Linked DNA regions of Macaca fascicularis. The main gene of each other region encodes a partner of the protein of the gene in region 2 in a complex. Links are inferred from orthologs where the notes say so. Each region holds a gene or a part of one and is shown on either strand. Other genes may lie near its edges. The genes, in order: MIDEAS, DNTTIP1 and SAP30.

Region 1 (6,252 bases), on a different chromosome or scaffold from region 2:
TCCTTCCTTGGCGAGCCCTAAACTTCAGCTTTGTGTTTTTTTTCTTTTGAGATGGAGTTTCGCCCTTGTGGCCCAGGCTGGAGTGCAATGGCTCAATCTCGGCTCACTGCAACCTCTGCCTCCTGGGTTCAAGTGATTCTCCTGCCTCAGCCTCCCGAGTAGCTGGGATTACAAGTGCCCACCACCACACCCAGCTAATTTTTTGTATTTTTAATAGAGGCGGGATTTCACTATGTTGGCCAGGCTGGTCTCGAACTCCTGACCTCAGGTGATCCACCCACCTTGGCCTTCCAAAGTGCTGGGATTATAGGCATAAGCCACCACACCCAAAAGTTTGTGTTTTTTTTTTTTGAGAGGGAGTCTCACTCTGTCGCCCTGGCTGGAGTGCAGTGGCGCGTTCTCCACTCACTGCAACTTCCGTCTTCCAGGTTCAAGCAATTCTGCTTCAGCCTCCTAAGTTACTGGGATTATAGGCGCCCGCCACCACGCCCAGCTAATTTTTGTATCTTTAGTAGAGACGGGGTTTTGCCATATTGGCCAGGCTGGTCTTGAACTAACCTTGGGTGATCCACCCACCTTGGCCTCCCAAAGTGCTGGGATTACAGGCGTGAGCCACTGCACCTGGCCAAACCTCAGTTTTTATTGTGTCAGTTCCTTAAATTTCTTAAAAGCTCTGCTCAGTTTCTCAGCCTCTCCGTTGCCTTTTCTAGTAATAGCATTCACCTCTAGGGAAAACGCAGCTTCAAATACTGGGCTCACCTCTTTAGCATTCTTTTTTTCCCCCTGGATCTTGGCTCTTTAATTCTTTGCTTATTTGCCCTCTGATATCTTCAGAAATGTGTTTTGCATATCGAGTCCAGATTTTCTGGTTATTCTCAGCTGGAGAGTTGGCCTGCATGCCTCTGTCATAGGCAGGGGAGCACCACAGTCTCTGCTCTCTGGGTTCCTGTTCCCTGGTTGAGGAAAAGTTTGTGGTAGAGGCTGGAGGTCTGGGCAGCTTGTTCTGAGAGTGAGCAGGAAGGAGCCTCAGCAGCTCCACAGCTCAATGCCCCTATTTTATAAATGAGGAGCGAGGTCCAGAAAAGACAAGAGACTGACCTAAGGTCATACAGCCAAGTAATAGTAGAGCTAGCCCTAGAATTGGGATCTCCTGAATCCCTGCCTGTGAGTACTTCTACTACACCAGGCTTTGGGGGGAGGTTTTGTTACTTGTTTATTTCATTCATTAGTTTTTATTCTTTGTACTACAGATACTTTCTTTCATGCATAAAAGTAGAGAGGGCTATAATGAATGCCAGCGTTTAGCCATCACCCAGATTTCACAGTTATCAAAACATAGCCAATCTTGTTTCACCTGTACCTCTGCTTCTCCATGCCGCTAGGTTATTTTGAAGCACATCCTGAACATCGTATCATTCCATCCATATATACTTCAGTTTGTGTCTGAAATACATAAGGACTCTTTCTTCTTCAACATTATCTCAGTAGCATTACCACACCTAAGAAATGAACATGACTGTTTTTGTCAAATATTCAGAATAGTTTAAATCTCTTATTATAAAATTACAAATGATTACAGCCAGCTGATTTTTTGGTTAGATTTCTTGTCAAGAAAGTTTGGGGGGGGGGGCCTTTGGCTCCTGCATTTTTTTTTTTTTTTTTTCTGTGCAATCATATTGTTTCCCTAAGGGAAGAAAAATGAACGATTTCATTTCATCCCAATTTCTAGAAGGGAAAAGAGGGCGCAGATGAGTGAAGGACATGGCCACAGCCTCAAAGGGGAGTCAGGGCCCTCTGCTGGAAGGTGTTTATGGGAGCCAGAACCTTGGCAGGGAGACAGCTCATTATTCTAAGGCCCACTTGGTCAACATGGCCAGCCTTACCTGTTATACTGAGTATGCAGAGGGATAAACTGGATGCTGCTCACCTTGTAGGGCTCCATTCTCTGCCTTTGAGATTATAGGAATCGAGCAAGGGAAGGCCTCTGTTGTCTTATAGTCCTGCTCCCTATTCTAGATAGAGGCCCATGAGGCACACCTAGCAAGGAGAAGTAGGCGGGCTAACTTTTGCCAGTGTGCATGGGCTAGACTTTCCTAGTGGGATTAATACTATGAGAACAAAAGTTCTGCAAGGACAAGGACTGTCCATTCCATTTTTTTTTTTTTCTTTTTCCTTTTTGTTTTTTGAGAGAGAGTCTAGTTCTGTTACCCAGGCTAGAGTGCAGTGGCACGATCTTGGCTCACTACAACCTCCACCTCCCGGGTTCAAGTGATTCTCGTGCCTCAGCCTCCTGAGTAGCTGAAATTACAGGCACCTGCCACCATGCCCAGCTAATTTTTGTGTTTTAGTAGAGACAGGGTTTTGCCATGTTGGCCAGGCTGGTCTCGAACTCCCAACCTCAAGTGATCCCTCCACCTCGACCTCCCAAAGTGCTGAGATTACCACGCCCGGCCTTGTCCATTCCATTTTGTAGTCCCATGCCCAGCTCAGGTCTTAGCACGCAGTAGGAACTTTCATCTAACGCAGAGCCTGGAGTTTAAGTAGTGATAGCCAATATTTACTAGGTACCAAGTAGCGTTCTCAGTGATTTCCATGTATTAATTCATGTAGTCCTCATAGTTACCCCAGTAAGTAGGCACTTACTAGGTAGGCACCATGTTAAAAATGAAGATGCACAGAAAGATTGAGTAATTTTAAGTGGCAATAAAGGTGGTAGGTCCCAACCCAAGCAGTCCAGCTGCAGAGCCTGGGCCCTGAACTACTGTACTCTTCTGCCCTGTCACACACTTTACAGCAGAGGTGGGGAACGGTGGTCTGGGGGCCAAATCCAGAGCTAAGAATGGTGTTACAATTTTATACGATTAGTTTTAAAAAGAAAAAGGGAAAGAAGACGAATATGTAACAGAGATCACATGTGGCCCACAAAGCCTAAAATATTTACTCTCTGGCCCCTTACAGAAAAAGTTTGCTGACCTCTGGCCTAGAGGAGACAATAAGGGCTTTTGGACGTGCTCCTTTTTTTCAGGCTTGCCTTGGTGGGTGTGGTGGGCAGCCTAAGTTCCAAAGGTGAGACCGGCAAGCTGTGGTTAAGACTTCACTTTCCCTGGGACACAAGGCTGAGCCATCTTTGTTTTCTTTCCTTCTCCAGGCGGAAGACATAAATGTCAAGTTGGAGGGGGAGCCTTCCGTGAGGAAACCAAAGCAGCGGCCCAGGCCCGAGCCCCTCATCATTCCCACCAAGGCGGGCACTTTCATCGCCCCTCCCGTCTACTCCAACATCACCCCATACCAGAGCCACCTGCGCTCTCCTGTGCGCCTAGCTGACCACCCCTCTGAGCGGAGCTTTGAGCTGCCTCCCTACACGCCGCCCCCCATCCTCAGCCCTGTGCGGGAAGGCTCTGGCCTCTACTTCAATGCCATCATATCAACCAACACCATCCCCGCCCCTCCTCCCATCACACCTAAGAGTGCCCATCGCACGCTGCTCCGGACTAGTGAGTGACCTCCCTCCGCGGCCCTGGCAGGAGCGGGGCTGGGGCAGTGGGCAGGGAGGCATCTCAGCCTATGGGGCTGCTGCGGGATTGGGCTGGAACACTCTGGGAGAAGGAGCTCTGCTCTGTCTTCTCTGAGATTGAGAAGGAGGTTGTCCTCATTCAACAAGGAGGGGCGGAGGGCCCGCCCAGCTGCTTGGATTCAAATCTCAATTTCATCATTTACTGTTACATCCACTTTTGCAAGTCACTTCAACTCCCTGGGCCTCAGTTTTTTCAGTATTAAGATGGGGATATTAGTAGTACTTGGTTGATGATGAAATTGCCAATATTCAACTATTTTTGGGTTCACAAATAGTAGTTTCCTTTGGTTCAACCTAATGACCACTTCCTAGGCTCAGGTGCATTAGCACACATAAAGCTGGAACATCATGCCAGGCCATCCTGTTTGCTCATAGTCCTTTGCAGCAGATCTGGTCTCTGGGGCTCTCAAACAGTCATTTTGGCCAAAAACAGACACTCTGGAAATATTGGGCTGGCTTGGGGTGGTGTCCTGCCGAAAAGTGTTGCCCACTCCACAAGGAGATCCATTTCCTCTGCAGAATGGGGTAATCCAATCCCTTAGGGTGGTAGAGAGGATTAAGTGGAAGTAGCTAGCTCATAGATGCTTTTGGCCAATTAACCTTTGACTGTGACCTCACCCATGGTGTAGCTCTCTGGTGCCCCCTGGTGTCTGTGGGTGCAAAATGTTTGCCCTAGGCTGGCCAGCCTTCTGTCCTGCTTCCTGGGGAGGCTTCTCCCTGGCTAGGCTGTGTAGGAAGAGGAAGTCATTGTGGAGATCAGACTGGCAGCCAGCGAGAGGTCAGTCTGCCCACGAGTAGTTACCGAACACTTGGGCGTAAGGCCTTGAACTGGGTCCTGTGAGGGCTCCAAGAATGTACAGGACACCGTGGTCTGTTCTATAGAGAATGCAAGGTCATTAGGGAGTTGACATGAAAGCCTGGGAGTTGGAAAAACAGAGGTTCCTGGCAGTGTGGGATCTGTAGCCAGTGAGTGAAGTCCCTAGCAGCTAGCCTGGGCTGGTGAGGACTGCATTCAAGTGGGGTGGGGCCAGAGCTGAGCCCCAGAGATGGAGGAGGGCAGGGGCAGGGAGGACACACCAGGGAGAGGAAATGACTGATGCAAAGGCCTGTAGATGGGACCATGCAGGGAGAGTGAGGGGCCGAGAGATAAGCAGTCAGCTAGGATGCAGGTCCAGGCACATGGGTGGTGAGAGGTACAGATGGAAGCGGAACTACCTTGAACTCTGAGGGGAGGGTTGCAGGTTTTATCTCACATTGCAGCAGGGAGTCAGTAAAAAGCAAAGATTTTTTTTTTTCTTTTTTGTTTTTGAGCAAAGGAGTGTTTTGATCATGTGGGGCCTTAAGAAGACCAGCTTGGGGCTGGGCACAGTGACTCACACCTGTAATCCCAGCTACTTGGGAGGCTGAGGGAGGAGAATCGCTTGAACTTAGAGGTTCAACTCCTTGAGCCGAGATCACACCACTGCACTCCAGCCTGGGCAGAGACAGAGTGAGACTTTGTCTCAAAAAGAAAGAAAGAAAGAAAAAAAACTAGCTTGGGAGAAACTGAGGCGGAAAATCCAAAGAGGAAGTGAGAAAGTGAGACAATAACTGTATAACAGCGATGCCCTTCACCACCTCCCTAGTGTGCTCAAAGTTTCAGTCTCTTTACTAGAAAACCACAGCTTTACATTGGAGCTGATTCTCTAGTGTTGGAGCTTCTGGGGCAGGGATATGGCTTTAGTTGTAGAAGCAGTAATAATAATCTTTATCGAGTGCCAGGCTCAGTGTGTTATTTTATCCAGTTCTCACATTAACTCTAGGAGACAGGTAGTAATCGTCCCTTTTGGTAGGTGTGAAAACTGAGGCACCCAAATATTTAGTGAAGAGCCTGCGTTTTTGTAGGTGGCAGGCTGCAGAGCCAGGACTCAGGTGCCTGTGTTCCCTGTGTGAGCTCTGTGTGTCACCACTGTGACTCTTGCACATACAGGGCAGCCACTAGGATTGGGGGTGCTTTGCTAAAAGGAGGTACTATTTATCAACCTGCTCTTTGTCCCGTAGACAGTGCTGAAGTCACCCCGCCTGTCCTCTCTGTGATGGGGGAGGCGACCCCAGTGAGCATCGAGCCGTAAGTGCAGCCCTGCCCCTGGCCGAGGGTGTGTGGGTGGCCACACTGGTGCAGTGTGTGCAGGTGGGCCCTGGGAGCAACAGGAGGGTTCCGTGGGGACTGCATAGGGCTGAGAGGGCCTCCCTGAGCTTCTGTATTTGGCCCTGGACTTTGCTGTCCCCGCCCTGCCTCTGTGTGGAAGTTGCAGGGAAGGACAAGGACCGGCTCAGCTTGAACTTATCTCTAGGAGAGTTGGAAGGGGGGTCCAGAGGCTCTTTCCCATCTGTAAACCTGGAGCTGCTTCTCCCTTCTCCTGCCTCTGGACCTTGCCTTTCTAGTGGTGCCAGGTCAGACTGTCCTCCCAATCCCCTAGAAGCCAGACTCCCTCCACCTAGCTGAGGCCTTGCTCTGCCGGCTCCCCCTCATCTTCTTCCCACCCTGAGGGATCATCAAGTTCTCTGTCCCCGCAAGGTGAGGCCTCACCTCCTGCCCTTTTCATTCCTCTAGACGGATCAACGTGGGCTCCCGGTTCCAGGCGGAAATCCCCTTGATCAGGGACCGTGCCCTGGCAGCTGCAGATCCCCACAAGGCC
Region 2 (7,032 bases):
ACAGGAACTTTGAGTCGAAAGTAAAAGACATAGATAATCGATGGTGTGTTCTTCCCTGACAACTGGGGGCACTGAATAATTCTGAATAGTTAAAGGAGGAGGAACCCTAAAAGAGTAAAGAAGAAGTACTCTAGGCAAGTGAGACTTCAAGAGGCAACCTAGGAGGTGGGAAGCTCTCTGCTTCCATCTATCCCAGAGGCAATGTCAGAGAGTACGCCCAGATTTTGCCCCTCATGCCAACATACCCTTAGGAATGTCTCGGCAGATCCGACCACAGCCTGTGGTGCAGCACTTCTGCCCAGCCAGACACAATTCATCGCCCTGGCACAGCTCTTTGCATGGGTTCTTATCAGGAGGGCATTCTCCCTCTTTTGCTGCAAAAGATATCATGTGAGTTTGGGGTAACTAGCCAGGCCTCAAAAATGGGGAATGGAGGCCAAACATATTTCAAGGATCTTCAGCCCCTCCAGGCATCTCTATCCAAAATATTTCTGCACCACTGCCCTCTAGCCTGGGTGACAGAATGAGACTCTGTCTCTTAAAAAAAAAAAAAAAAAATTCTGCAACCACCTTCCCCTCCTAATACACAAATACTAACATACATCCACCACTACTAAAGGAGCAGCCATCCCGCAGATAACGAGAGAGAAAGGTTGGGATGATCCTGTTCTCATTTAATGAGTTCTAGGGAAAAGCTAGAACCTCTAGTAAGCCCAACTGGAAGTCTTATCTCCTTGTCCAGAGAGGGTAAAGAAAGCCAGGAAGAACGACCCAGGCCATCCTGAGAATCTATTCATCCAGTCCTGTCCTACAGAGATGATCATCTCCACCTACGAGCAACCTTGCTCTGGCAGAAGGCAGGGGATGACTTCTCTCCTCTAGTCACTTTCTGTTACTCTTGGCCAGGGATCCCAAATGATAGCTCACCATGTTCTCCCGCAGTTATCCAGGATTCCAGGGACCCAAGAGCAAGAAGTGCCTTCACAAGAAAGAGGCAGCTTAACATCATGATGATGCTGAGAGTTGGGATGAGAGCTTAGTTCAGGCTAGAGTTGTACACCTTGCCCAGAGTATCAGCTGAGGTATGGGCAGGACTAGGGATGGCCCCAAACCCAGTCCCAAAGCCTTCCCTTTCACAATACTATCAAGAATATCTTCTCCTGACAAGAGGAAGAGGGATTGGCTGCTGGAGTGTGGGGAAATTCCTGGCACTTCCAAAGGGCACATGTGATAGGAGGATCAAACTCTATAAGCAATATACACAATATTCCTGGATGATGAGAAACCTAGTGGGTGGCTGGAAAAATGGAAGGACGGCCATTGGAAAAAGAATCAAAGAGTGCCCTAAAGGGCATTGGAAGGACCTGGCTTTAGCCCAAATGACAGAGGGAGGGACTCATGACACTGCTTAAGAAAATAGCCAAAGCTAATAACATAACCAAGCATAACAAAATTGTTCATCCTAGCAACCCAGAAAAGACAGAATGGAACAGACCACTCAGAAACTATCAAACAGGCCAAGGTGGGCAGATCACCTGAGGTCAGGAGTTCGAGACCAGCCTGGCCAACATGGCAAAACCCTGTATCTACTAAAAATACAAAAATCAGCTAGGCGTGGTGGCACATGCCTGTAATCCCAGCTACTTGGGAGGCTGAGGCAGGAGAATAGCTTAAACCCAGGAAGCAGAGGTTACAGTGAGTGGAGATCATGCCACTGCACTCCAGTTTGGGTAACAGAGTGAGACTCTGTCTCAAAAAAAAAGGCGGGGGGAGAAACTATCAAAAACCTACAGAAAGGCAGTAGTTGAGTTTGTTAAGAACTAATGAAAAAGCACCAAACACCTACATCTTTGTCCCTCTAGCCCACACAGGCCATTCTTGGACTGTATGAAGGCTAGCTGGCAGAACTCAAGAGAACAGTTGCTATGTATGACTCAGATAGTCTGCCTACATATACCACCTTTATTTCTTTTTCCTCTATTTCTTTTTTTCTTTATCTGTCCTCTTTATGCCTTTGGTCAGCTGTGATACCCAATGGTGTCCACTGGCACTGCTTAGTCCTATGGGCAGGTACAAGGTTAAAACCTCCCTAATAGGATGAAAAAGTTTGGAGCCAGGAAGTTGCCCTTATTGTTATAAGATTGATGTTGGCTCATGGAGATAATTAACATTTGTTGATGGCCTAACATGTGCCTAATATGGTTTTTTTTTTTTTGGGGGGGGGGGGACAGAGTCTCCCTCTGTCCTCCAGGCTGGAGTGCAGTGGCGCGATCTCGGCTCACTGCACAATCTCGGCATAATTAACATTTGATGACGACCTAACATGTGCCTAATACGCCTGTTTTTTTTGCTTTTTGTTTTTTGTTTTTTTGAGACAGTCTCCCTCTGTCGCCCAGGCTGGAGTGCAGTGGCGTGATCTTGGCCCACTGCAACCTCCGCCTCCTGGGTTCAAGAGATTCTCCTGCCTCAGCCTCCTGAGTAGCTGGGATTACAGGCGCCCAACATCAGGCCCGGCTAATTTTTGTATTTTTAGTAGAGACGGGGTTTCGCCATGTTGGCCAGGCTGGTCTCGAACTCCTGATTGCAAGTGATCCTCCCGCCTCGGCCTCCCAAAGTGCTGGGATTACAGGCATGAGCCACCGCCCCTGGCACAGCATATTAAAATCTAGTCTTCAAACACTGAACTGCAGGCGTCGCTGCACCAAACACTTCCCTCTGCTCCCCAACCCCAGCCTACAGAAACCAGCTCCCCTCCTCCTACCCCGCAGTCATCCACAGGCCTTGGCCCAGCGGGAAACGTCCCTTGACTGAACCGCCACTGAACACCCACACTCCACAATCGAGGGGCAGCCCTCCCGAGAGGAAGCCCCAACGACCTCCAACCACAAGGCGTCTAAGTGTAACTGTCCCGGGCGAGGCGCGGCGGTTCGGTTCCCATGGTAACCCCGCAGCTCCTGCGTCGCGCTTCCGGGCGGACGAGCAGCGCGCCTCAGTGACGTCACGGCGCCACTTTCCGGCCGGTGGCAGAGTCCGGCGAAGTTGTGGTGGCCTGGGGCGCCATGGGAGCCACTGGCGACGCCGAGCAGCCGCGGGGACCCAGCGGGGCCGAGCGGGGCGGCTTGGAGCTGGGGGATGCGGGCGCAGCGGGGCAGCTGGTTCTCACGGTGAGGGCGCCCCCGGTGAGGTCTGGGCTCGGGCCGGGCAGGGCCTCGGGGCTCCCGGGACCCTGGCCCGCGGGCGAGAACGCGGCGGCTGCAGCTGCAGAGGGGGTTGGCGTTTTCGCAGCCCGACGACCTGGATTCAAATTCTGGTGCCGCCCTCCTAGCTAGGTGACGTGGGCCAGCTCTGTCGACCCCCTGAGTCCCCAGATCATCTTCTATAAAATGGAGATGATTAGTACCTGTCTCATAAAAGTTGTTGTGGGATGGGAAGATAAAGGCGGGTACAGCGCCCAGGACATCACCTGACACAGAGTTGACCCTCGGTAAACACTGCTTCCCTTCCTCCTGCCGTGCCAGAAGGCAGGGTCGGGACTTTTAAGGCAGGAAACTTCCTCAGTTCCTCTTTTGTGGAGGGGGCCTTCCAACTGTTGTCCTCCCCCGATACCCCAAGGCGGGAGAGATGGTGACGGATCTGAGAAGCAGGAATGTTTAGGTTTAACTTCATACCCACCCTCCACCTCCACCCCACGCCAGTGTCACAGGCCGCAGTGACATTTGTTCCGTTGGTCCCCACAGAACCCTTGGAACATAATGATAAAGCACCGGCAGGTGCAGCGGAGGGGCCGCCGCTCACAGATGACAACAAGGTAAGGCTGGCCCTGCATGGGACTTGTATCCCAGCCACTGGCTTGCATGGCAGCTTTGGGATCCCCAGTGCACAAGACTATGGAGATCTACAGCCTGTAGAAAGAGCACAGGACTGAGAAAGAGGAGACTCCGATCCTGTAACTCTGTGTGATCTTGAGCTAGTCAAGTCACTTCCTTCTCTGAACTCACGAAATGGGGAAGGGCACAGGAGATGGGTTGGGGAATAAAAAATACCTAAGACCCCTCACATTCACTGGCTCTGTGATTGAGGGCTCTTAAGAGGTCAGTTAGCATGGAGTTTAAGAGCACGGGCTCTGGAGTCAGACAACTGTGTTCTCATGCAGCCTCTGATGAGCCCCTGTTTTCTCAACTATAAAGACGGATTAATAGTATCCATCTCAGGGAAGGGAGAGAGCACAAGGTGGGCCTTTGGGATGCTGGTAGTGGTGAATTGGATGTTCACTGTAATTACTCATTAAAGTGTATAGACTTTTCTGTATAATAAGTATTATATTTCATAAAAACACTTTGGGCCGGGCGCAGTGGCTCACGCCTGTAATCCCAGCACTTTGGGAGTCTGAGGTGGGCGGATCACCTGAGGTCAGGACTTTGAGAACAGCCTGACCAACATGGAGAAACCCTGTCTCTACTAAAAATACAAAAAGATGGCCGGGTGCAGTGGCTCACGCCTGTAATCCCAGCACTTTGGGGATCTGAGGCGGGCAGATCACCTGAGGTTGGGAGTTTGAGACCAGCCTGACCAAGGAGAAACCCGGTCTCTACTAAAAATACAAAAATTAGCTGGGTGTGGTGGTGCACACCTGTAATCCCAGCTACTCGGGAGGCTGAGGCAGGAAAATTGCTTGAACGCAGGAGGCGGAGGTTGCAGTGAGCCAAAACCACACCACTGCATTCCAGCCTGGGCAACAGAGTGAGACTCCGTCCAAAAAAAAAAAACTTTGAAAATAATACCCACTTCATAGAGTTATGAGAATGAAATAAAGTCATGCCTTTGTGATTTGAACAAAATCTGAGCATGTAGCTAGTTTTCAGTAAAAGTTGTCTAGTATTGTTAAAGAATTCTATGTCCATAATTGACTGGGCAAGGTGAGAAAGAATATGTTTCGGACATGCCCCCTCACCCTGTCTCCCTCCTGAATGCAGTTTCACAGATCCTGCCATCTCTATGGATCTCCTCCGAGCTGTCCTGCAGCCTAGCATCAATGAGGAGATCCAGACTGTCTTCAACAAGTACATGAAGGTGAGAGGGACACAGGATAAAAAATAACGGGAAAGACTCATGAGGAGCCCAGTCCTTCCTTGCATCACCAGTCCGTCTCTTTCCTACACACAGATATCTAAAGTTTTCCTTTTGTTTTTTTGTTTTTTTGTTTGTTTTGTTTTGTGTTTTTGAGACAGAGTCTCACTCTGTCACCCAGGCTGGAGTGCAGTGGCATGATATCGATTCAGTGCAACCTCCACTTCCCAGGTTCCAGCGATTCTCATGCCTCAGCCTCCCTAGTAGCCAGGATTACAAGCGCCCACCACCACACACAGCGAATTTTTGTATTTTTAGTAGAGACAGGGTTTCACTGTTGACCAGGCTGGTCTCAAACTCCTGACCTCAAGTGATCTGCCCGCCCACCTTGGCCTCCCAAAGTGCTGAGATTATAGGTGTGAGCCAGCGCGCCCGGCCAGCTTTCAAATTTTTAATCCCCCAAGAATTTTATCCCTTCCTTGAGGGTAATTCAGATATCTTTTTTTTTTTTTAAATCTGCCCTTGTCACTCACTGTCACGTTTTTGTTTTTGTTTTTTTTGCTGACTTCTTGTAAGGATGAAATGACTTAAATGTACTGTGCTGAGCACTGCACTTAGGACATAACAAGTGTCCAGTAAGTACTTCTATTAGTTGTTTAATAATATCACCATTATTGGGGCCATGCACAATGGCTCACACCTGCAACCCCAGCACTTTGGGAGGCCGAGGCAGAATCACTTGAGGCCAGGAGTTTGAGACCAGCCTGGGCAACATAGTGGGACCTCATCTCTACTACAAAAAAAAAAAAAAAATTTATTAGCCAGGCATGGTAGTGCGTGCCTGTAGTCCCAGCTACTCAGAAGGCTCAGGCGAGAGGATCACTTGAGCCCAGGAGTTTGGGTTTGTAGTGAGCTATGATCATACCACTACACTCCAACCTGAGTGACAGTGAGGGCCTTTCTCGAAAAATATATGTAGATAAATAAAGTTGCCATTATTATTATTATTTACGGGTTTTTTCCCTGGCCTATAAATAAATTTCCACATGACTTTACTTAAATGTACCAAAAGAGGATGCTTTAAACTCAGTATGTTCAGAACTGAACTCTTTGTTTTTCTTCCTAAATCTCCTCCTCTTACATTTATTCATTTATGTAAGAAGTATTTATTTACCGGGCGCTGTGGCTCACACCTGTAATCCCAACACTTTGGGAGGCCGAGGCAGGTGGATCACCTGAGGTCAGGAGTTCGAGACCAGCCTGACACAACATGCTGAAACCCCATCTCTACTAAATACAAAAAATTAGTCAGGCGTGGTGACACATACCTGTAATCCCAGCTACTCGGGATGCTGAGGCATGAGAATCTTGAACCTGGGAGGCAGAGGTTGCAGTGAGCTGAGATTGCACCATTGTACTCCAGCCTGGGCAACAAGAGCAAAACTCCCTCTCAAAATAAAAAGTATTTATTGAATGACTACTATACTACCAGGCACTATTCTAGTCACTGGGGATGTAGCAGTAAACAGAACATATGCTCTCTGTAAACAAATATGTGCTGTGTTAGAGAAAGAGAGAAGACAGGGGAAAGAGAGCAACCAGTAGAGAGTAGGGTTGCTGTTTTATAGATTGTGGCTAGGAAAGCCTTTGATAGAGGACATTTGAGTGGAGACCTGAATAAGTGAGGAAAAAGCAAACCATGAAGATACTTGGGGAAGAAGCAGTCCAGTTGCAGAGGAAATGGTAGAGGCTCTGAGACAGGAGTGTGCTTGGCACATCAAAGCAATGAATAGGCCAGTGTGACTAGAGGAAAATAAGCCAGGCGAGTAATAGGACAGATTTTTTTTTTTTTTTTTTTTTTTTTTTTTTTGAGACAGAGTCTTGCTCTGTCACCCAGGGTGGAGTGCAGTGGTAAGATCTTGGCTCACTGCAACCTCCACCTCTGAAGTTCAAGCAATTCCTGCA
Region 3 (6,840 bases), on a different chromosome or scaffold from region 2:
ACTTTTACATTGCAGCTCCTTGAGTTACTTCTCAACTTACAAGATCCGATTTTTTGTATTTTAAATTAACAAGGATTTGATTTCATTGAATAACTACCATCCGGAACTCTTCATTCATATTTTATAAAACTACATTTTATTACACAAATAATTATATGAAATTAACATTGCCAAAGGTTATGTTCATACTTTTATATCAGCAAATAATTTCAAGCTTTTGTTTTTCACAAGAACAGAATATGGGTTTCATTTTGGGTTTTTTTTTTTTTTTTTTTTTGAGTCGGTCTCACTCCAATGCCCATGCTGGAGTGCAGTGCTGCAATCATAGCACACTGCAGCCCCAATCTCCCAGGCTCAAGTGATTCTCCCACCTCAGCCTCCCAAGTAGCTGGGACTACAGATGCACGTCACCAGGCCTAGCTAAGTTTTGTATTTTTTTGTAGAGATAGGGTTCACCATTTTGCCTTGAATGCCTGGGCTCAAGTGATCTGCCTATCTTGACCTCCTAAAGTGCTGGGATTACAGGTGTGAGCCAGTGTACCCGGCCTCAAAATGTTTTTATAAGAAGTCTTCTCACAGATTTCCAGAATTCCAGAAATGAGAAGTTTCTATGACAGCAATTATTACAGCCTGTGCTTGCTAATAAAGTAGCAAGCAAATCTTTCAATGGTCATAGCAAAACCAAAGACCAGTTGCTTTATTGTTCATTATATTTTCTAGCAGTCAATACATTAAGAACACTTGAAAATATGCAGTCACCTACTAATGAACTAGTACTTTAGATGCAGTACTTTAGTTACATCAGTGGTTCTCAACTAGCTGTGATTTTGACCATCAAAGTATGTTTGGCAGTGTCTAGAGGAATTTTTGGTTGTCACACCTTGGAGGAGCTACTGGCACCTACTGAGTGGACTTAGGGATGTTGCTAATCCTCCAATAGACTCAACGGCCTCCCACCAAAAGGAATTATTGAGTCCAAATGTCAACTTTGAGAAATCATGAGCTACATTAATGGTCTCATCCATTTCCAGCCTAAAATCCGCAGCTTTATCTCACAACAGTTTGCTGAAGCGTTACAAACTATAAATTTGATTTGTAATTATAAGGATTTAGCTAAACAATATAATCTCAGGAAAAGCAGAGGTTTAGAATGTTTGATAGAAAACTGACCAGGAATGAAACATAAAACGGAGATGGATAAATCAAGTCAGTCATATATAACCAAAATTTAAATGAAGATCTTGTTAGATATCTAGACCTCTCCAACTTACTAGTTACCATTTGCAATGTAAACAGTACAGGACATCACTAAAAATTAAGGGGCATAGCAGAGGTACTTTCTGTATTCATGCCACATAAATATCTTTTCCCAAAGACAAAATTTTCAAAAACAGCTATTTCATTTCATGTTCTTATTTCGACTTTCAGCATTGTGTTTATCTTCACTGGCACATTAAGTTGTCTTTGGAACGAGGTGGGTATATAAATTAAACCATTTGTTCTTCCTAGTACTTCATCAAGTAATAATAACAAAAAAAAAAAGGAAATAAAAAAGAAGTTGTATTCCAATAGAAGCTTATTTTTCAAATTTGCTAGCATTATAAAGCACTTAAAAAAAATAATGCTATTTAAAATATCTTCAATTCCAAGTCAGATTGTCCCAGAGAATGCAAATGTGCTACATTTGTTACTTCTCCTTACCCTGTTAATTTCTTGGAAGTTTACAAAAAAAAAAAAAAGGGGGTTATAAAATGAAGGACTTTACATTAAAATATCAATACTGATCTCTAAGTCAGTTTAAAAGAAAAATCAAGTTTCACAAAATAAATACACTGAAGCAACTATAATAGTAATAACCTTTATTTAAAATAGTTTTTAATTTAGGAAAGCTCATTTTACATGAGTTTCCAACTAATTATTAGAGTCAGAAACAAAGAAAATAAAATCAGAGAAAATCCTCTGTAGAAAAAATACACAAAGAACATTTCTACATGTGAAAAAACAGTAAACAGTGTTATCATCCAAGTTATTAGTCTCAATTCCACGTCTCCTAGTGAACACCACTATCAACCTTGACATCTGATTTGTTCTTGTCATTCTTCACTGAGTAGATGAAATATGTTAAGGTGTCTTTTTCATTCACTGGAATAGACCTAAAGTGGCAACCAACTATCTATAAAGAAAAAAAAAAAAAATTAAGGAAATTAAATTTTAGATATAACAGGTTTCATAAACTAGGTAAAAAATACGGTTTCATCCAAAGAAAAAATCTATGTGATAAGAGCTATTTCCTTTAAAAATTATATTTAAGAAAATACCAACAGGACAAAAAGCATTTAAGAATAAAATGTTATGAACAAGAGATAATGTGATTTCAAAGGACCTTTTGGCTCACTCAATTTACTATACATTGATTAGAAAATACATTTTCCTTTTATTTATTTTAAATTTTATAATTGGGCCAGGAGTGGTGGCTCACACCTGTAATCCCAGCACTTTGGGAGGCGGAGGTAGGGGGATCACTTGAGCCCAGGAGTTCAAGACCAGCCTGCGCAACATGACAAAACCCCATCTCTACCAAAAAAAAATACAAAAATTAAGTAGGCGTGGTGGTGTACACCTGTAATCCTAGCTATTCAGAAGGCTGAGATGGGAGGATTGCTTGAACCCAGAAGGTGGAGGTTGCAGTGAGCTGAGATCACGCCACTGGACTCCAGCCTGGGTGACAGAGCAAGACTCTGTCTCAAAAAAGATAAATAAGATAAAAATAATAAATTTTATAATTGGAATCTAGAGTAGGGAATACATGTTTTTACTTTTAAACTTTAAATGAGATAAAACAGATGTAAGAGACCACATGCATCATTAAACCTGCAATGGTTTAGACCCTACTGATAGAAAAAGAAGTATGAAGTTGAAAACTTTTGGTAGTAATCAACAATAACATATAAATTACTTGCTGCAAATTACATTCATTCATTCGTATCTTGGTAGCATTCTTTGGTTAAGGTTCCTTGAAAATTTTTCTGAATAAAAATTGTGAATGGAAATGAGAGGAGAAAGAGGGATGTTCAATGAAGGATGTTTACCTGCTTCCTTGCCTTTTCATTGTGCTAATGTAATATGCATACTACAATTACGAATAGAAGATTAATAGACTTACCTGAGGTGCTGACAAGCATATTTAGATTCCAGAAAATAGAATTTCTTAAGAAAAAAGTTCATCCACACAACAATTACGAGACTTAAGACTTAGTCATACAACCCTGGAATCCCTTAAAACAGTGGTCCCCAACCTTTTTGGCACCAGAGATCGATTTCACGGAAGGCAATTTTTGCACAGATTGGGGGTGGGGGAGTTGGTTTTGGTATGAAATTGTTCCACCTCAGATCATCAGGCATTAGATTCTTATAACAAGCGTACAACCTAGATCCCTCACATGTGCACTTCACACGTGGTTTTGGACTCCTGTGAGAATCTAATGCTACGGCTGATCTGACAGGAGGCGGAGCTCAGGCAGTAATTCTTGCTAGCTGGTGCTCACCTCCTGCTCTGTGGACCTGTTCCTAACAGGCCATCAACCAGTACCAGTCCATGGCCCTGGGGTTGGGGACCCCTGTCTTAAAATATATGTACTACATCTGCACATTTCCACATTCCTTAACCTGTTAATAACTGCATTTCTGATTAAGTAAAATATAACACTCATGGCTATCTCTTATGTATAAAAAAGAAAATAGCTCTAGAAATAATATAACTGTTCTTAGAAGGTCAGTTTATCAAAAATTTCAGGTTTAATTTATACCTAAATGTAACATTTAAAATAATTAGTTCTTTGGTTCTCATTTGTTCCAAAACAGGGGTGCCTTCACTCCATTAGTACCTACTGAAATATTTCATCATGGTGGGCAAGATCTATATTTACGTTACATAATGTATTGTACAACCCCAAAAGAACTTGATCTTTTAAATCAAAATTAAAGAAAAATTAATTAGATCCGTGTTGCCTAACCAAGGATAAGAAATTTTAGCTAAATAGTTAATGTATTAGATTTTAACAATGTTAAAAAGCGTTCCATCAGATAAATGTAACTTCTATTCATATTTCATTTTATTCAATGAAATGTTGTACATTTTAGAAAATGTTGGGTAACTACTAAATCCATGCAAAGAATATGAGAAAACCGATTTATATATCTACACTTCTATTTTGTCTAGTAGGCTAAATTTTCTTTTTTAGAGATGGAGTGTTGCTATGTTGCCCATGGTGACTCAAACTCCTAGGATTAATCAATCCTCCTGAGTAGCTGCAAGCAAAAATTTTAAATATGATTAAAATATAAATATATCAATCTATAAGCATCTTAATAAGATGCACAGACTTCTTGGTTCTATTATATCCTGAGAACATATGCATACTCCATTAACTTTCACAACTCACTGACTAACTAGAAGTCCTCTGTCAAAGCAAACTACAAGTAAAAGATTGGGTAAAAGAAAAGCTTTTGCCTCTTCTAGATGTGAAGAAAACATAGATGTCTCTAATAAAACTAACATCAACAAGGACCAATTTTGAAATAGTTAAGTCAGCAAATTATAAAAATACTGTTTAGGGGCTGATTTGTAGGCCTACTCCACCACTTTAAAATATAAATTTTAATAAGGACATTAAAGCTTGCTAATTAAATTTATTATGCCTCAATTAGATGCTCAAACATTTACTGGTTAAATGGAGTTTTAAAACTAATAGATTTCTAAAGTGAGGATTAAAAAAAACTCTCATTCAACATTTTGAGGGCCAGGCACGGTGGCTCACACTGCTGATCCCAGCACTCTGGTAGGCTGAGGTGGGCGGATCACTTGAAGTCAGGAATTTGAGACAAGTCTGGCCAACATGGTGAAACCCCATCTCTACTAAAGATATTACACAAAAATCAGCCTGGTGTGGTGGTGCACACCTGAAGTCCCAGCTGCTTGGGAGGCTGAGGCTGGAGAATTGCTTGAACCTGGGAGGTAGAGGTTGCCATGAGCCGAGATCGTGCCACTGCACTCCAGCCTGGGTGACAGAGCGAGACTTTGTCTCAAAAAACAAACAACACATTTTGAAAGCCAGTATCAGAAGGTGCTGTACACAACCTGCTGAGTAGTCATTACAAAAAGGAATTTCCTAAGTGGCTGACAAACATTTTTAGACAACTAGATTCTTCCACAATAGATTTTTTAACATTGTTCTTTCTAAATAAAATGTACTGTTAAATGTACTGTTACATATACTACATTAATACTTTCATTAGCATTTAACAGCCTCTCGGTTGTGCATAGTTCAAATAGTTTAAAAATCATATATACCTCAACAAGCTGTGCTTTATTAAGTCCTGGTCTGGTTGGTAGCTTGAAGTGTCTTTTGTATCTCCTAAGTGTATTTACTTGTAATTGGTATAAATCAACCTAGAAAAAATTAACATGCATAAATTAGTTCATACAATTTGTGGAAAATTTATCATCGATATGTATAATAACAAACATTTTAACTTCAGCACAATAAAAATTTACTTCCAAAATCAAAAAAATTATTTAAAAAATTTACATAATCAAACCTATAAATTATTAAACAGTTTAATCTTTTGGGGATTAATAATATAAACTGAGGTCAAAAAAGAGTAAGTTATGTGACAACAGAGCCGCAAAAATTGTCAATTTAAAATGTAACAATTCAAACTGTGTAAATGCATGACAACTGGCTATATTTAATTTTGCTTTCATTTTCAGATTTCTCAAATGTTTTAAACACTTAAAAGATTGTTCATATCTTTTTATAAAGGTTTCAGAATGCACTACTTAGGATTTATATTAAGCATAAAAAACTTCCATTTACCTCTGGGGTATCAATATCTTGAACAGGTGAATCACCTCCATCATCATCACTCCCTTTTCTCTTTCTTCTGTTTCGAACACTCTGAATTAAGTTTTTATGATAATCACATATGTAAAGATGCCTTGCCTGAAACAGAAAAGTTTCACACACTGCTAATGATTACAGTAAAATGTGTCTATGTATTAGGAAAACACATATGCCACAGATAGTAAAAATAAAGACAGTCAAGATGGCCATTGTTAACACAATGAAATATTTATACATTTAAATCCTAAACCCTGTTAAAACATAAGAAGTCTGGAATACTGTTAAAAGGATGGTGGATGGGGAAGGAGGGGTTGGTTCCATTTGGGGAAGGGGTGAAGGGAGGGAGGGAGAGGAGAATGAGAAATTCCAACCCTCTGGGTTTTGTCATCAAATTGCAGTGAGGGGCCGGGCGCGGTGGCTCACGCCTGTAATCCCAGCACCTCTTGAGCTCAGGAGTTCCACACAAGCCTGGCCAAAATGGTGAAATCCCGTCTCTACTAAAAATACAAAAAATTGGGCGGGCGTGGTGGCACTAGTCTGTAATCCTAGCTACTCAGGAGGCTACCGCAGGAGAATCACTTGAACCTGGTGGGTGGAGGTTGCAGTGAGCTGAGATCGCGCCACTGCACTCCAGCCTGGGCAACAGAGTGAGACTTTGTCTCACATAAATAAATAAATAAATAAATAAATAAATAGCAGTGAGGATGACATGAATTAGTTCATGTTGAATTTTTAACTGTTAAGGGGAAAGATGATGCTGCCCACTTTTGCTACTTGACAGTACTTTCTCTACTTAAAGAAGAGCATATTTTTGTAACATAATGTATGCTTTCCAGTCTTTCCAACTGAATGCCCAAATTATATTCCGGATACAAAACCATCCGTTTTTACAAATGAGCTATCGACTTCATAACTATATTTAAATTTCAGTTATCAA

What was found.
Region 1: the proteins of DNTTIP1 (region 2) and MIDEAS are in contact, whole or in part, in a cryo-EM structure (PDB 6Z2J), measured with the Homo sapiens proteins. The link is inferred for Macaca fascicularis from reciprocal best matches to the Homo sapiens genes DNTTIP1 and MIDEAS. Residues at the interface, in NP_443183.1 of Homo sapiens: Pro63, Ser66, Leu69, Leu70, Ala72, Val73, Leu74, Pro76, Ser77; in NP_001036783.1 of Homo sapiens: Gln768, Asp771, Leu772, Thr774, Ala775, Ser778, Ser779, Ile802, Leu803, Leu806.
Region 3: DNTTIP1 (region 2) and SAP30 share a complex: the UniProt entries of both Homo sapiens proteins name them as parts of the histone deacetylase complex. The link is inferred for Macaca fascicularis from reciprocal best matches to the Homo sapiens genes DNTTIP1 and SAP30.

Annotation. Positions count from the first base shown.
Region 1 is NC_088381.1:141,655,376-141,661,627, reverse strand, and holds part of MIDEAS (mitotic deacetylase-associated SANT domain protein), read left to right. Parts: intron 1-3,148; coding exon 3,149-3,494; intron 3,495-5,614; coding exon 5,615-5,681; intron 5,682-6,167; coding exon 6,168-6,252.
Region 2 is NC_088384.1:101,820,406-101,827,437, forward strand, and holds the start of DNTTIP1 (deoxynucleotidyltransferase terminal-interacting protein 1), read left to right. Parts: upstream 1-2,991; 5' UTR 2,992-3,059; coding exon 3,060-3,164; intron 3,165-3,737; coding exon 3,738-3,808; intron 3,809-4,973; coding exon 4,974-5,070; intron 5,071-7,032. Other genes in the region: WFDC3 (WAP four-disulfide core domain protein 3), read right to left, coding at 246-374, 928-1,009. UniProt on the Homo sapiens protein: Increases DNTT terminal deoxynucleotidyltransferase activity (in vitro). Also acts as a transcriptional regulator, binding to the consensus sequence 5'-GNTGCATG-3' following an AT-tract.
Region 3 is NC_088379.1:178,117,024-178,123,863, reverse strand, and holds the end of SAP30 (histone deacetylase complex subunit SAP30), read right to left. Parts: intron 6,003-6,840; coding exon 5,877-6,002; intron 5,450-5,876; coding exon 5,351-5,449; intron 2,174-5,350; coding exon 2,051-2,173; 3' UTR 1,845-2,050; downstream 1-1,844. UniProt on the Homo sapiens protein: Involved in the functional recruitment of the Sin3-histone deacetylase complex (HDAC) to a specific subset of N-CoR corepressor complexes. Capable of transcription repression by N-CoR.